Linked DNA regions of Stegostoma tigrinum. The protein of the gene in region 1 interacts with the protein of each later gene in a biochemical or structural test. Links are inferred from orthologs where the notes say so. Each region holds a gene or a part of one and is shown in the gene's direction. Other genes may lie near its edges.

Region 1 (8,209 bases):
ATGGAGGGACTGCAACAATTGTTTATTCCAGTTTTGCACAAAAATAAAATGGAAAAGGTGCCCAATCATGATTAACACGGAAAATTAAAAATAGTGATAGATCTAAGGATGGGGCATACAGACTGGCCAAAAAAGTAACAGACCTGAGTATCAGGAGCAGGTTAGATTTCAGCAAAGAAGGACAAAGGGATTAATTAAGATGGGGAATATAGAGTATAAGAGTAAGTTTGCAAGGAATATACAAATTATTTGTAAAACCTTTTATTGATATGTGAAGAGAAAGTATTTCATGAAGACAGATGTAGGTCCCTTAGAGTTAGAAACAGGGAAAGTTATAATGGGGAATAAAGACATGGCAGACCAAGTAAGTACACAGTTTGGGATAGTAGGAACTGCTGATGCTGGAGAATCAGATAACAAGGTGTACCTGCATGAACACAGCAGGCCAAACAGCATCAGAGGAGCAGAAAAACTGATGTTTTGGCCTGCTGTGTTCATCCAACTCTACACCTTGTTATCTAAGTACATATTTTGGTTTTGCTTCAAAGGATGACACAAATTGTGTTCCAAAAATGTTGGGGATCACAAGGTATTGAGAGATGAATGAATTGAAAGAAATCAGTTTTGGTAGGGATAATGGGAACTTCAGATGCTGGAGAATCCGAGATAACAAAGTGTGGAGCTGGATGAACACAGCAAGCCAAGCAGCATCTTAGGAGTACAAAAAGCTGACATTTCGGGCCTAGACTCTTCAAGAAGGGTCTAGGCCCGAAATGTCAGCTTTTGTGCTCCTAAAATGCTGCTAGGCCTGCTGTGTTCATCCAGCTCCACACTTTGTTGTCTTAGGTTTGGTAGGGAAATGGTTTTGGGGAAATTGATAGGATTAAAGGCCAATAAATCCCCAGTGGCTGATAACCTACATCCTACAATACTCAAGGAAGTGGTCCGAGAAATAATGGATGCATTGGTGGTCACCTTTCAAGATTCTATTGGCTCTAGTCTGGAACGGTTTCTAAGAATAAAGTAGCGAATTATAGATCAGTGAGCCTGACATCAATAGTAGAGATAATGCTGGAAAAAATTTAATGGTAAAAAACTTGGAAAATTGTATCAGAATCAGACAAAGTTAGCTGAGATTTATGAAAGGGAAATCATGCTTGATAAATCATATCTACTCATATTTTTTGAAGATGTAACTAGTATAGTTGATAAAGTTGGATTCAGTAGATGTGGTTTACTTGGATTTTCAAAATGTTTTCGATAAGGTTCCCCATAAGAGATTAGCATGTAAAATTAAAGCATGTGGGATTGAGGCTAATGCATTGACATGGATAGAGAACTGGCTGACAGACAGGAAACAAAGAATAGGAATAAACCTTTTCTGAGTTGCAGGTGGTGACGAGTGGGGTACCACAGGGATCAGTGCTTGGGCTCCACCTATTTACAATATACATTAAATATTTAGATGAGGCAACTAACCGTAAGAGGTGTTGAACTATGAGAAGGATGCTGAAATGCATCAGCGCGATTTGGGTAAATTGAGCAAGTAGATGAAGTACTGTGTGGATAAATGTGAGGTTGCACTTTGGTACCAAAAAAAAGGACAGTTTATTATCTAAACGGTAATATATTTAAAAAGGGGGAAGGTGCATCAAAACCTGTGTGTACCTGTACACCAGTTGCTTAAAGTAAGCATGCAGCTGCAGCAGGTGTCAAAGAAGGCAACTTGTATGTCAGCCTTTGCAACAAGCGGGTTTAAAAACAGGAGCGTGAATGTCTTGCTGCAATTGTATGGAACACTGGCAAACTATACCTTGAGAAGTAGGTGTGCAGTTTTGGTTTTCTTAACTGAGGAAGAATGTTCTGGCTACGGAGGCAGCACAACAAATGTTCACCAGACTGATTCCTGGCATGGCAGGACTGATAGTATGAACAGAGAATGGATCAGTTAGGACAATATTCACTGGAGATTAGAAGAATGATGGGGAGGGAGATCTCATTTAAATCTATGAAATTCAAATAGGATTTGACATAGTAAACAGTGCAAAGGATAAGCTGAAGCATTCGCTGCAATCTTCAGCCAGAAGTACTGAGCGGATAAACCGTCTCAGCCTCTTTCAATTGTCCCCCAACATCGTAGATATCAGCCTTCAGTCAAGTCAATTCACTCCTTGCGACATCAAGGAACAGTCGTATGCATTGGAAATTGCGAAGTCAAAGGCTCTGACAACATTCCAGCAACAGTACTGAAGACCTGTGCTCCTCAACTTACTGCTCCCCTTGCCAAGTGGTTCAGTACAGTTGCACTGGCATCTAGTTAACAATGTGGAAAATTGTCCAATAACGCCTTATACAAAAAAACTGGCCAACTACCAATCTGTCTGTCTATTCGCAATCATCATTAAGGAGATGGAAGGTGTCACCAACTATCAAGCAGCACTGTTCAGCAATAACTTGCTCAGTGATGCCTGGTTTAGGTTTTGCCAGGGCCACTCAGATCCTGACCTCATTACAGCCTTCATTCAAATACGGACAAAGAACTGAATTTCAGAGTGGAGGTGAGAGTGACAGCCCTTGAGAAGTATGCTGCATTTGAATGACTGTGGCATTAAGGAGCCCTAGCAAAACTGGGATCAATAGGTATCACAGGGCAAACTCTCCGCTGGGTGGAGTCACATTTCGCACACAGGAAGATGACTGTTGATGCTGGAGATCAGTCATCCCATCTGCAGGCCATTTCTGCATGAATTTCTCAGACTAGGCCCAACCATCTTCGGCTGCTTCATCAATGTCATTCCCTGCATCATGAGATCAGAAACGTGAATGTTTACAGATGACTGCACAATATTCAACACCATTTATGACTCCTCAGATACAGGAGCAGTCCGTGCACAAATGTAACAAGATCTGGACAATATCCAGACTTGGGCTGACAAATGGCAAGTAACATTTGCACCTTGAAAATGCCAGACAGTGATTTTCTCCAATAAGAGATAATCAAACAACTACCCCTTGACATTCAATGGTGTTACCATCACCAAATCGCTTTCTCCTTATCAACATCCTTGGGGTAACCACTGATTGGAAACAGAACCGGGCTCATTACATAAACACAAGAGGTTAGGGGCTATAGGTGCGGGGAATAATTCAGCTCATGACTCCCTAAATCCTATCTACCATCTACAAGGTTTAAGAAATGAGTGTGATGGAATATTCCCCACTTGCCTGATAGGTGCAGTTCCAACAACACTCAAAAAGCTTGACACCATTCAGGCCAAAGCAGCCCATTTGATTGGCATCACATCCACTAGCATCTGCTCCCTCCACAACTTAAATTCAGTAGCAGCAGTGGGTACTGTCTACAAGATGCACTCCAGAAATTGATCAAAGATCCTTAGACAGCATCTTCCAAACCCACAACCACCTTCATTTGGAAGGATAAGAGCACCAGATACAAAGCAACACCATCACCTACAAGTTTCCCCTCCAAGCCACTCACCACTGAATCGGAAATGTATTGTCGTTCCTTTGATGTTGCTGGTTCAAAATCCTTGTAGCCCCTCCCTAAGGCTATTATGGGCCATCCCATATCACATGGACAGCTGTGGTTCAAGGTGGCAGCTCACCATCACATTCTCAAAGGCAACTCAGATAGGCAATAAATGCTGGCCAGCCAGCAAGACCCACATCCCACGAGTGAATAAAAGAAAATAATATTTCCAATGTCTGGAGAGTCCAGAACAAGTGGTCACTGCCTAAATATACACGGTTGGTCATTTAGGACTGAGAAGAGGAGAAAGTTCCTCACCCAGACAGCAGTGAACCTGTGGAATTCTATGTCACAAGAAGTGGCTGTGGCCAACACATGCAACGTTTTCAAGGAGTAAAATATAGTTCTTAGGGTTAATGGGGTAAAATGGTATGGGGAGAAAGCAGGAACAAGGTGCTGAGTTGGATGATCAGCCATGATCATATTGAATGGTAGAGTAGGCTTCAAGCCAAATAGCCTACTCCTGCTCATATTTTCAATTTCTCCTTATAAAATATTGGCCTGGTAAAAGGCCATTCATATATCCTCTTAACTAGAAGGTTTACAATTAAAGCAAATTAGTCGATTTTTAAAAAAAATTCTCTTGATCTTACTGCAATGTCTTCACGTACAATTACATTGCAAACATCGTGCTTGCATTCAAGAGCTCGTCCATCGTCGTGTATTTCTGCTGCTGAAAGTTAAAGCTAACCGAAGAAAGCAGCGTAGTCGAACGAAAATGAACGAGCAAATTAGGTTTTCAGAAGGATTTAACTATGTATTTTACTTTGTTCACTATGATGGTGCAATATCCAGTGCGGTAGTTTTAACGAGGCCGAGCAGGTCCTGAATAAACAGAAATTGAAACAGAAATTAATTTTGATGAATTTTACGCACCCAGAATGCTTTTAATCAGCTTCTCATTCTAGATTCTGAACCCTCTCAGTGCGCTGTATGTTAATTCAGATGTATGTTTGTTCTGGAATTACTTACGAAGGTTTTATTTCACTTATATTTCATTTGGAGAATCACCATCCAGGAGAGAATCTATCACGCCACCATGCAACGATGTACGATTTATTGAATTTAAAACCTGTGCATTTCAGAAGGAATGTGCAGTTGGAGAAGATCATTGCCTATTTTAATAAATATAATCTTTTCCGCCTTCAATAACCAAAGCTTCCAAAACCAGCCTCGCCCCCTCCCCTGGTACCCACAGCTCATCCTTTTCCGTCCTCCTATTGTCCATATCACGTGCTCAGCTCAACGCTCCCACAGAGACGCAAAGTGGGCGGAATAAATAAACGCCAACCAACTGAAATGTTCTCGTAGCATGATGGGAACTGTAGTTCCGTTTTTGCGTGTTTCAAATCGAACTATGTGCCAACACTGCTAATTGTAATGGAAAAACTACGTTTCCCAATTGGCTGTGCGGTGGTGTTGCGCATGTGAATGGGTTGCCTTGAGCTCGAGCACTCAGCTTCTCGGAAAGTGCCAGTAAGTGAGTTAGAGGCAGTGTATCCGCCATTTACAGTTGGGAGGAAGAACGTGTCTATTTTCGAGCTGAGAGATTCGCCTGTTTTACCTTCTTTGCCCCCCTCCCCCGTTCTGTGTGGGGGGCCCGGGCTTGGGTCTACGATACTTGTTCGTTAAGGAAACCGGCTGGGCGTATTTTTTATTTGAAAAGTCGATTCCAGTACAAGAGGAAGAGAAGAAGCCGGGATGTTACGTATGTGGACAGCTCTGCAGTGAGCCTCTCCCCCGGCAGATCGACCTTACCCTGGGGTTTTCTATTGTTGCAGCATCCCGGCCTAGTCCATCTGGCAGCCTGCACGTCTGTCGGCTATTTAAATTTTGGTGACTTTTCTTTAAAACCATGGGCATCGCATCCATTTTGAAAGCTTGAAAGAGCAGAACCTTATGGCATCGACGGGGCAGTCGTGGCGTTGTATATTATCTGTGCTTAAAATAAACCGACGCATTTCCATAACCGTGGAATTGTTCTAGTGAGGGAACAGAAACTAGCAGCATCGCTGAAAGGGATTGTTGCGTTGATTGTCCCTTTTTTTGTTCTGGCCGTTTTAAAGTATATTATTTTTGGAGTTAATCCGGGAATAAGGAACTGTTTTGGCTTTGTTTATATCGGTTGGATTTTCATTTTCATTTTAAATTTCTTTATCGCCCTTTTGAGAAATGAAGACTGGATGAAAATTGTTCGAAATTTTTAATTAAGGATGGATGGATCACAACAGATGATCCATGTTTATGTCGCTGCGTTGCAACTGATTGAGTTGGACAATATTGCGTATCTCATTTTTTATATCGGAACGCTTCAGTTCCAGGGACCCGACTGTTTGCGCAAACATAACAGGGAATTATTTTGACTTCTCAAAGAAAATCAGGTTGCATTTGTCTTTACGCGTAATTGGTACTTTTTATTGCATTTCAACCATTTGACCGGCAGTGTGCTTCGCGTTGAAATCTTGTTTGAAGAGAAACCACTGAATTCTTCTGGGGAAGTCTTTTGGGAATTGAGTTTTTGTGGAAATGTCGGAAAACGCAGACAATGTTGGGTCTTTGTTGCGCCCCCCTAAAAATGGTACCAATTCGAGTTCAGATACGACAATAGGGGAGCGTTTTGGAGTAAGTTTGAGAAAAAAAGAAGAGTTTAAGGCTCTTAGGAGGCGGCGACATACTATGGATAAGGACAGCAAAGCAGAGCACCAACGTTTTATCAGGAGAAGTGTGATCTGTGATTCCAACGTTACAGCGTTGGACCATCTGCCCAGTAAGACATGTATTATCGTTTCGCCACCCGAATCGGATAATGCAGCTTCATTAATAAGCAGTATTACTATTAATAACGAAGCGCAACCTCCTGTACAAGCTACGACAGTTGACTCGGTCACTGCGGCAATTCCTGTTTTTGCCGGAGAAAAATGTGAAAAGTGCGTTGATGGCAATACGAAGGATGGAAGCACAGTTGCTGGAATTGGCGATGAACGACCGAGAACTGCTGTTCGTTCGCTCGATGCCGATGTTTGCAACCATGCAGGGACTACAACCAGTAGCAGCAAAGACAGAAAAAAACAAAAATCAGTTCCAATTAAAGAGGAAACCGAGTTGAAAGCTAACGATGATGATAGTTCAGAGAGCAAAGAAGCGGAAGAGGCAAAAAATCAGGAGAGGAAGGCGCAAGAAGATAATGAAGAAATAGAGACTAAGGCTGTGGCAACCTCCCCCGATGGGAGGTTTTTGAAGTTCGATATAGAAATTGGGAGAGGTTCTTTCAAAACCGTCTATAAAGGTCTAGACACAGAAACTACAGTGGAAGTAGCTTGGTGTGAATTGCAGGTAAGTTGTGTATTTTTGTTGTCGGCACGTTTGTCTTCATTGGGAAGACTAGCCACTTCATTTAAATCCTTGTTGCATTAGTATTTGTATTTTCAAAGAAATTTAACTACCAAAGGATAGTTTGATATGAGCTGAATGGCCACCTTCTGCCCTGTATCATTGCTGTGATTCTGAAAGAAGTGGTGTGCAGACCTTAAAATTAAAGGTGGCAATATAATTCATTGACACTTGCCAATTAGAAGCATAATTTAGAATCTGAAAGCTTTTTTTTAGTATTATTAAGGGATTCATTCCCAGGGTACTAACAACTTGTGTCCCATTAAAACCTGCTGTGATTTTTCTTCATTTTGACAACTTCTTGTTCAGGTTTGATATGGTCTTGAACATTGATACCTTTGACCATGAATGCTGAATAAATTTGATATTTCCACAAGAATGATTTTGAATAGAGCTTGCTGGACTATATTTTGAATTGAAAATTGTGTTTTACCTCCCTCTCTCTCCTCCTCATCCTCATTCTCTCACAGCGGGTTGGCATGGTATGAGGTGTTAAGACTGGTGTATTTCTGTCAGAGATAATGGGAACTGCAGATGCTGGCGATTCCAAGACAATAAAATGTGAGGCTGGATGAACACAGCAGGCCAAGCAGCATCCCAGGAGCACAAAAGCCGACGCTTCGGGCCTAGACCCTTCTGTCACCCTGTTTGAAATCAGTATAGGATGACTGGATGTTTGGCTGAGAACTTTCCTATTAGTGTAGCTTAAGTTTGTGTTCTTTTAACTGAATTTGAGTAGAGTTCAAAATGCATGTACCTAGCCCTTCATTGGACGCTTGATTATGTTAGTTTCAATTATGCACCGTTGATTTGACAATCCATGCCATAGATTCTGTTGTGTATATATTTATATTTTTAGGTTATTTTATTTTATACATGTATATGGTGAGAAGTGGCAAAGAGGTTCCTTTTTGTGTAGTTAAAGAAATGTGACAACGTAAAGGCCAGATAACTTGTTTCAGTGACATTGAAGGAAAAGTATTTTCCAGAACAGTGGAGAGAGATCTCATTTTCAAATGCAAGTAGTGACGTGATGTTTTACTACCATCTTGTACCAGAAAGTTTCCATTTGATGCTTTGTTTAAAAGACAATACCTCCCAAGTTGCAGCAAGCTGGCAGTACTGCAGAGGTGTGATTGTGGATTATGTGGGCAAGACTTGAGTGACACTTTGAACCTGAAAACTTTTGATATTTGAGAGGAAGTTTTGAGAATTGCCAAAAATTCTGGAAGAAACTGCCTAGGACTGGATACATTTTTCATTCAGACC
Region 2 (7,785 bases), on another chromosome or scaffold:
TAAAATGGAATCCTTGCAAGAAGGACAGTCTTAAGGAGATGTATTGAAGGTAACTGTGGGAGTCGGTGGCCTTTTGCTTTTATCTAAAAAGAACCATTCTGGCTTCCACAATCAATCCTCATAACTGAAGTCTCTCATTCTCAGCACCATTCTTCTTATTTATTTTCTGCATTCTTTCCAATGTCTTTGGATCTTTCATGATGTCATGGCCAGAATCGAACACTACTTCAGTTAAGCCTGAACCAGTTTTCTGTAAAGGTTCAACACAACTTCCTTGTTTTTGTACTGTATACCAATAAATCTCAGGATTCTGGATGCTTTAACTGCTTTCAGAACCTTTGTCACCCTCAGTGATTTGTACATATATACTCCCAGTGTTTATGATTTTGCACCCACTTAAGAATCATGTGTTTTATTTGCCTTTTCTCATTCTGCCTCCATCATTTCACATTTCCTTGCATTAAATTGTAGTGCTTTGAATGGGCGCATTTCACTTTCTACAGCTTCTTGCTGTCCACCACAGTTCTGCTGGCTTTGGGTCATTTGTAACTTCTGTAATTGTGACCTGCGCTACACTATGTCAAGATAATTAATAGAGATTAAGAGTAGAACAAATACCGACCTCAGTCCGAGAAACAATTATTTGCTAACACTGTTGGTGAACCAACGTTGCATTCTTATTGTTATTGTCCCTTTTATTCTATGGGGTTTAACTTTGTGGACAACTCAAGAAACTTCATTCAGAGATTGTGCAATTTCCTGCTAGGTGCAATAGATGACGCAAGTAGATATATCGAGGGGGAGCTAGATACAAACACGAGGGTAGAAAGGATAAAGAGTATTGATGGGATGAAGTTAAGTAAAGGAGAGGGAAAGGTTTGTTTGGTTCTTAAAGTTCAAAATAAGAGTGATGGCTACATGCCTTGTGTCTATGCTGTAAAATTCTGTGATTGGCTTAACATGAAGGTGGCAATGGTCATGGATGTTTCCATTCATATCTGTAGTAACTTGGAAGTGAGTAGACAATGATTTTAAAATAAGAGACTTAGATAATGAAATGTTTTAGATATTGAAACAAAGCAAGGTGCTAAAGAAATCAGGGGAGAAACCAAATTTGAAGATCTCACTGTAGCTAAGGTAATATGATAAGGCACATGTAACCTGGAATGGGTGGGGCGGTAATTTTTCTGGCCTTAGTGATGAGCTTCACGGGTTCAGTGTTGGATCACTGTTTTAGTAGTCTTTGATCATCATTTACAAACTTGGCATCTGCATGCTTTTTTTTAAACAAATGGATAAACTTCTGAAAAATGTGTATTCTTGAACCAGTCTGTGATTCTCTTATCATTTTAGTGACATATGACACATTGTCAGTTATAAAATTTGTCAGTTTTGTTTGGGAATCTATTAACTTGTCTATGGACCTCCTGAAATCACTTTAGTTAACAATGCATCATTTTTCTGTATTGGCAGAAAATTTTGAAACTATGCCCTGCCACCTAATTCCAGGTCATTAAGATGTAAAAACCAAGAGAAAACTAATGTTTGCATCACTCCTATCGAGAAAGTTCCATTAACCATTATTTCCTTTTTTGTTACTTTGACCAACTTCCTATCCAAGTTGTATCATGCTGCTTAATATTATGTGCTTTAATTTCTTCTTCATTGTTGGGTCAAACTCCTTCATTTCCCCACAAAACAGCACTGCAAACAATCACCTGGACTGCAAAGATTCAAGGAGGCAGCTCATCATCACTTTCTCCAGGCAATTACAGATGGGTAATAAATACTGGTCTTGGCAGTGATACCAGTGTCTGATGAAAACAGTTTTTTAAAAAAATCATTAAATCAGCAATGAAATTCTTTCTGGAAGTTCAAATATGCAATTTAATCTTGTCACACATGAATGTTTGAACTTCAGAGCTGGAATTGACATAAATTCTGGTAGAAGTGGATCACAAAATATGTTGAAAATGTAACTTTTCTTTTCAATTGTTTGTCATTCTTCGGTGCAAATAAACTCCCCCTCCCTGCAAGGGCCAGCAAAGTGTTACCAAGGAAATCCTTGAGGACGTGGGTCTTATTCATAGAAAATATGAAACTGCATGTCTTCCTTTTTTATATAAATAATGATTATGCTAAACCTGGAAAAAAGTAGTTGCTTGAAATCCTGTTTCACTGTACTTCTTCCAGGGTCAATAACTGATCATGCTGGTTATGGTTCCATGGCTACTGTTTTTGCGTCTAAGCTGTTATTCTTTATGTATGAGGGGAATCAGTGAATGTTGACTGTTAGTTAAATATGATCTTATTTTAATCTTATGTCTGCTGTACTTTCTAGCAGGACTGGATTATGATCAAAAGCAAGCATTTTAAAATCATAATGTAAATTGGTTAAATTCATAGGCTGCTGTCTTTGAGAAGAGCACCTTAACTTGGTAATGATGTTCAAAATCATGAATTGCTAAACAAAGAGAAACTCTTCAATGCCAAAATAGATGATGATCAAAGGACATAGATTTAAGAAGATTTTTGATCTGGAAAATACTACCTGAAACATTGGTGGAAACAGTTTGAATAGTCACAGTTGAGGAATGGATAAATACTAGAGGAAAGTATTAGAGGAAAATGACTGATTGGATGACTCTTCTAAAGATCCATCCCAGGCATAGCGGGTCAAGCTGTCACCTTATGTGCTGTACGATTCCACGATAAGGTTTTGGAGTAGATTTGTAGCTGGGATTGTGGGTGTTGAGGTTGGTTGGCTTACCAAGCTGGTTTCTTATTTTGCAGATGTTTTGTTACCATGCTGGGTAACATCCTGAGTGCAGCCTCCGACGAAGCGTTGGTGTGTTTTCCCGCCTGGCATTTAAACTCCCGGGTCCGTTGAGATGGAATGTCTCACTTCCAGTTTTCCTTCGCAGTGGAATGTATATGGCGTCAAGCTCAATATGTTTATTAATTGCATGCTTCGTAGAGTGCCAGGTTTCTAGGAATTCTCATGCCTGTCTCTGCCTGGCTTGTCCAGGATTTTGGTGTTGTCCCAGTCGAAATGGTGGTTCTCCTTGTCCATGTGGATTGAGATGAGTGAGGACTGGTCGTGTCTTTTTGTAGCCAGTTGTACTCTTGTTAGCTTCCTTCCTGTTTGCCCGATGTAACGTTTCTCACAGTCACTGCAGGTAGTTGACATTTGCTCCTGTCCATGGCGGGAAGTTGTTCTTTAGTTCAGGTGAGCAGTTGTCGTAGGACTGATGTGGGCTTGTGTGCCACTCTGATGCTCAGTGGTCGTAGGAGTCACCACAAGACTCTTAAACTCCTTAAACTCACTTCTGGTCATGTTCATCTTCGATCACTGAGACAGAATGAAAATACTGCAAGAAGCAGAGATGACCTGTTCCAGAATATTGCAAGAGCTTTTTAAATAAAAATCAGAAATTTCCAGTTTGAAAAGATAAGAATGAAACGGGACTTGATAGAGGAATTAAAGATGCTTAATTTCTTTTTCTGGTCAATTAACTCCAGAGTACTGGGTTAGGTTTAACCATAAGCATGAAAAAAAACGTTTGAGGCACGATACAGGAAGTAATTATCACACAAATAATAAATATCTGGAAAGGCTTCTCAGTTAGGGCCTGGAGCATAAACTCTGTAATCATTCAACAAATATTGTGGTTAGGAAGGCATATGGGATACCTGCCTGTATCAGTCATGGCATTGATTATAAGGGAAGTCATTTTCGAGCCATGTAAAACATTGTTTAGGCCGTAACGCGGCTGCTGGAAAGTGCGATATGACAAAGTGTGGAGCTGGATGAACACAGCAGGCCAAGCAACATCTTAGGAGCACAAGATGCTGCTTGGCCTGCTGCGTTCATCCAGCTCCACACTTGCAAACGCTGAAGAATCCGACATAACAGTTCCCGTTATCTCTGCTGGAAAGTGCGACCAGAGCAGGTAATAGTGTATTTTTGGTGGTACAGACTGACATTATTATTTGTGGCCTTTTGTTCATTGTTCCTGTTTGCAGTTTGCACCTTTTTAACACTGCTTAATCTCTTTTTCCCTCGATTGTGTTCCCTAATCTGGAAATAATGTGCAAGATCTGTAAATGCTAGTTGCAAAACTCCGTATAATCTTCTAGTTCTACTTAGTAGAATCTTCTCTATGACGCTTTGACACTGCCAAACATCACTGGGAGTGTAGCCAAAATTCCTGCTATACTGAATCCTCAAGGCACAGGCTGGCGATTACGGACTGAACGGGAGAAAGGTAGATTGCTGTTGTTTATAAGCGAGTTTGGGCAGTGACCTGGAAATAAACAAAAATTCTCATGAATTAAAAGCAGAAATTGCTTCAAATGGCAGCAGTTCTTTGTATCTGTGGAGAGAGAAACAGTTCACCGACCACTTTAAAGCAGATTACTCAGGAAAAATAAAACTCTGGGAATGACTGGATATGTGAGATCATTCTTCCAAACCTCAAAAACATCACAAAATGTAGAGAGGAAGGGGTGGAATTTAAGAATTCCCACAGAAGGTCAACTCTCCCAAAACTGTTCCTAGAGGCACAGTTATATTTTATTGATTGAATACACGCCACCCTGTACCTCCTTCCCTAGCCAAGAGCAACTCAATTTACATCAGCAAATATTTATTTGTTAGTTGAACGTTGCACTTCTTTGATTGGTTTGTTGACCTCAGTCTGCTGACATTGGCCAACTCTTATTTTCCCCTCTTGCTTACAACGTGAGAGTTTCTGGTGAGAAACAGCAGCAAGTCGTCCGAAAACAAAACTTTCGGAGAGGCAGATTTGTTCGGGTAGCGAAAGGAGGGTAAAACACAACGCGCAGCAAATCCTTTCCCCGCTGTACAGTGAGCTGTATGAATCCCTGCAACACGGCGAGAAATGCTGCGGAATCTCGCAGCGGTGGTACCGCTACCGGTGGAGGTGGACGGTGCCCAGGAGCCAGGTGAGTCTCTCGCCGCCGCTGCCAGGCAACCGGCCAACACTGTGGAGTCAGGCGCTGCGGCGGGGAGCTAAGGGCAGGGTCCTGAGAGAGCGCGAGCCGCTGCTATGGCGCCGAGCTGAGGCCCTCAGTCCGAGCTCCGTGAGCAGGGCCGGGTTGGACGAGACTAGCCCTTCATCCCGGCCGGCTACTTGGAGCCGGGCCCAAGGGAATGCGGCCGTCGAACACCAACACTCCACACTATGGAGGATGAAGGGTAGGTTGGGAGCGACCCTTTTCACCTGCCTCCCTGATACTCGCTCTCCGTCTGAACAAGTTGTTCCCTCATCCCCGTCCTGTCCCGCTCTATGGGTGGGCTGCTTTCCTGATCCCTGCCTCAAAACCGTGACTGTCACTAAGCTCTTTTTAAAACACGCGTGCAGTTTATCTGCTTAATGTGTGTGAATATGTAAACCAACTTTATTTCTTAACTTGAGAATCACTTGATTGCATCCTGTTCTGCAGATATATCCGGTGCACATTTCTGATTCTGACAGGTTTCTCGATCATGACTGTGTATTTTAAAGCGCTTCGCGATTCTGGATATAAAAAAAACAAATTCCAAAATTTTGTCATTTCCTTGGTACTGCGGTGCATTTTGTAAGTTTTCGGAGTAATTCATGCTATGGAGGTGCCGGTGTTGGACTAATGCATATGTTTGCGAAATGCGGGAAGCTGCCCTATAGATCTGAATCATTACCATGAAATATCAGATGTGCTAATTTGAGGTTCAGACAATGCCAGTACTGTCCACTACACATCATATATAAAACAGTACTAGTACTAACAGCACTTCGTATCTCAATATTCTTGTAGATTGAATAGTATCAGTCAAAAACTTCACAGCAACAATTTTCCAGGCCTGATGGTAATGGTGTTTATTGGATGCGGTCAACATTTAAGCTATAACTTTGTTGCCTTCCTCTTAATTATTGCCTAGAAAGGTGTAAGTAAGTGCAAGTTAGCCTAGCTACCCAAAAGACTTTAACTACTCACTGCAAACTGAGGCTGAGGAATTCAGGGTTTACATTATAAATAGCAAAAACAGAAGTTGCTGGAGAATCTCTGCAGGTCTGGAAGCATCTGTGGAGAGAAAGTCCAGTGACCCTTCTTAAGGACTCCTTATAGCTAGGAAGAAGTGGTATACATGCAGAGATCCTGACTAATATTTGGTTTGATCACACTCTTGTGAAATATCTTGGGAAGTTTTCTACAGCATGGAAACAGATCCTTCAGTTCAACTCATTGAAATATCTTGAACTGAACTAGCCCTGTTTGCCAGTATTTGGCCCATATTCCCCTAAACCTTTCCTATTCATGTACCCATCCTTTTAAATGTTGTAATTGTACCCACTTCCACCACCTCCTGTGGCAGTTCATTCCATACATACACCAGCCTCTGCATTTAAAAAAAGGCTTTTCTGAGGTCCCTTTTTAAATCTTTCCCCTCTAGCTTTAACCCTAAGCCCTCTAGTTTTGGACTCCCCTACTCTGGGGAAAAAAATCTTGGCTCTTCAGCCTATCCATGCCCCTCATAATTTTGTAAACCTTAAGTAAAGACCCCCTCAGCCTCAGATACTCCAGGGAAAAATATTTAACCTATTCAGCCTCTCCCTGTATCTCAAATACTCTAATCCTGGAAACATTCTTGTAAGTCGTTTCTGACACCTTTCAAGTTTTAACAACGTATTTTGTAGATCAACAGTATTCCAAAAGTGGCTTCACCAATGTCATGTACACTGATAACATGATGTCTCAACTTCTGTACTCAATGCAGTGACCGATGAAGACAAATCTGCCAAATGCCGTCATCACCACCTAGTCTGCATAGTCATACAGCATGGAAACTAGACCCTTCATTCCAACCAGTTCATGCTGACCGTAATCCCAAACTAAACTGGTCCCACCTGCATACACCTGGCTCATTTCCCTCCAAATCTGCCCTATTCAGATATCCATCCAAATGTCTTTTCAGCATTCTAATTGTATCCATTTCCACCAGTTCATCAGGAAGTTCATTCCACAAGCAAACCGTCCTCTGTAAAAACAATTTGCCTTGTGTTTTTTAAATCTCCTCCTCTCTCCTTTAAAAATGTGCCTCCTAGTCTTGAAATTCCCTATCTTAGAATTTAAATGCAAGATATTTCCCTCGCACTACCTTTAAAGGGTTCCTTTAAAGTGGTCATTCATTTTGTGGAATCAGAGTGGTTACAGTGCAGAAGGAGGTTATTTGACCTTGAGTCTGTCAGGTCTCAGCCAGAACAGAGCAGTTTATTCCTTCAATGTGGCTTATAGTCTAGCTCATATTAATGTTGTGTGTGGTGCTGCTATATTGTGTGATTGCACTGGTATAAACCAATTTCATTGATTCCTTTTCAGGATGGATTTTTTGTTATTATTATTATTGTTTGTGGTTCCTAAACTGTCAGAAACTTCTAAGTAACTTTCCCATGTAACCATTATTTATTTGTAAATCTTAAGTAATAGATGAAACTTTTTTAGTCCTCTAACACAATCCTATCTTGTCAGCACCCAGCATCTATAGGCACTCATGTGTTGTGTAGACGGTGATCAGGAATGAGAGCCCAGGTATTTTTGTTCCTGTTCCTTATGCAGTGATCCAGGGCACTGTACCAATTTTCCCTTCAGCTAGGATCTTGAGTCAGGAAAAGCCACAAATTGATTTTTTTTTTATGGTCTCATGCTTCATTTTGTCTTTTCTTTGAGCAGTTATGAGCATTGCCAAAGGTTTAGAACACCCTAATCACAGGAAAGATATTA

The links.
Region 2: of the proteins of wnk1b (region 1) and kelch-like protein 3, one has a biochemical effect on the other in vitro, tested with the Homo sapiens proteins (2 studies listed by BioGRID). The link is inferred for Stegostoma tigrinum from reciprocal best matches to the Homo sapiens genes WNK1 and KLHL3.

The regions. Positions count from the first base shown.
Region 1 is NC_081371.1:20,510,035-20,518,243, forward strand, and holds the start of wnk1b (serine/threonine-protein kinase WNK1), read left to right. Parts: upstream 1-5,002; 5' UTR 5,003-6,076; coding exon 6,077-6,883; intron 6,884-8,209. UniProt on the Homo sapiens protein: Serine/threonine-protein kinase component of the WNK1-SPAK/OSR1 kinase cascade, which acts as a key regulator of blood pressure and regulatory volume increase by promoting ion influx.
Region 2 is NC_081366.1:35,887,963-35,895,747, reverse strand, and holds the start of kelch-like protein 3, read left to right. Parts: upstream 1-4,750; 5' UTR 4,751-4,879; coding exon 4,880-4,968; intron 4,969-5,061; exon of another isoform or gene 5,062-5,207; coding exon of another isoform or gene 5,208-5,221; intron 5,222-7,785. UniProt on the Homo sapiens protein: Substrate-specific adapter of a BCR (BTB-CUL3-RBX1) E3 ubiquitin ligase complex that acts as a regulator of ion transport in the distal nephron.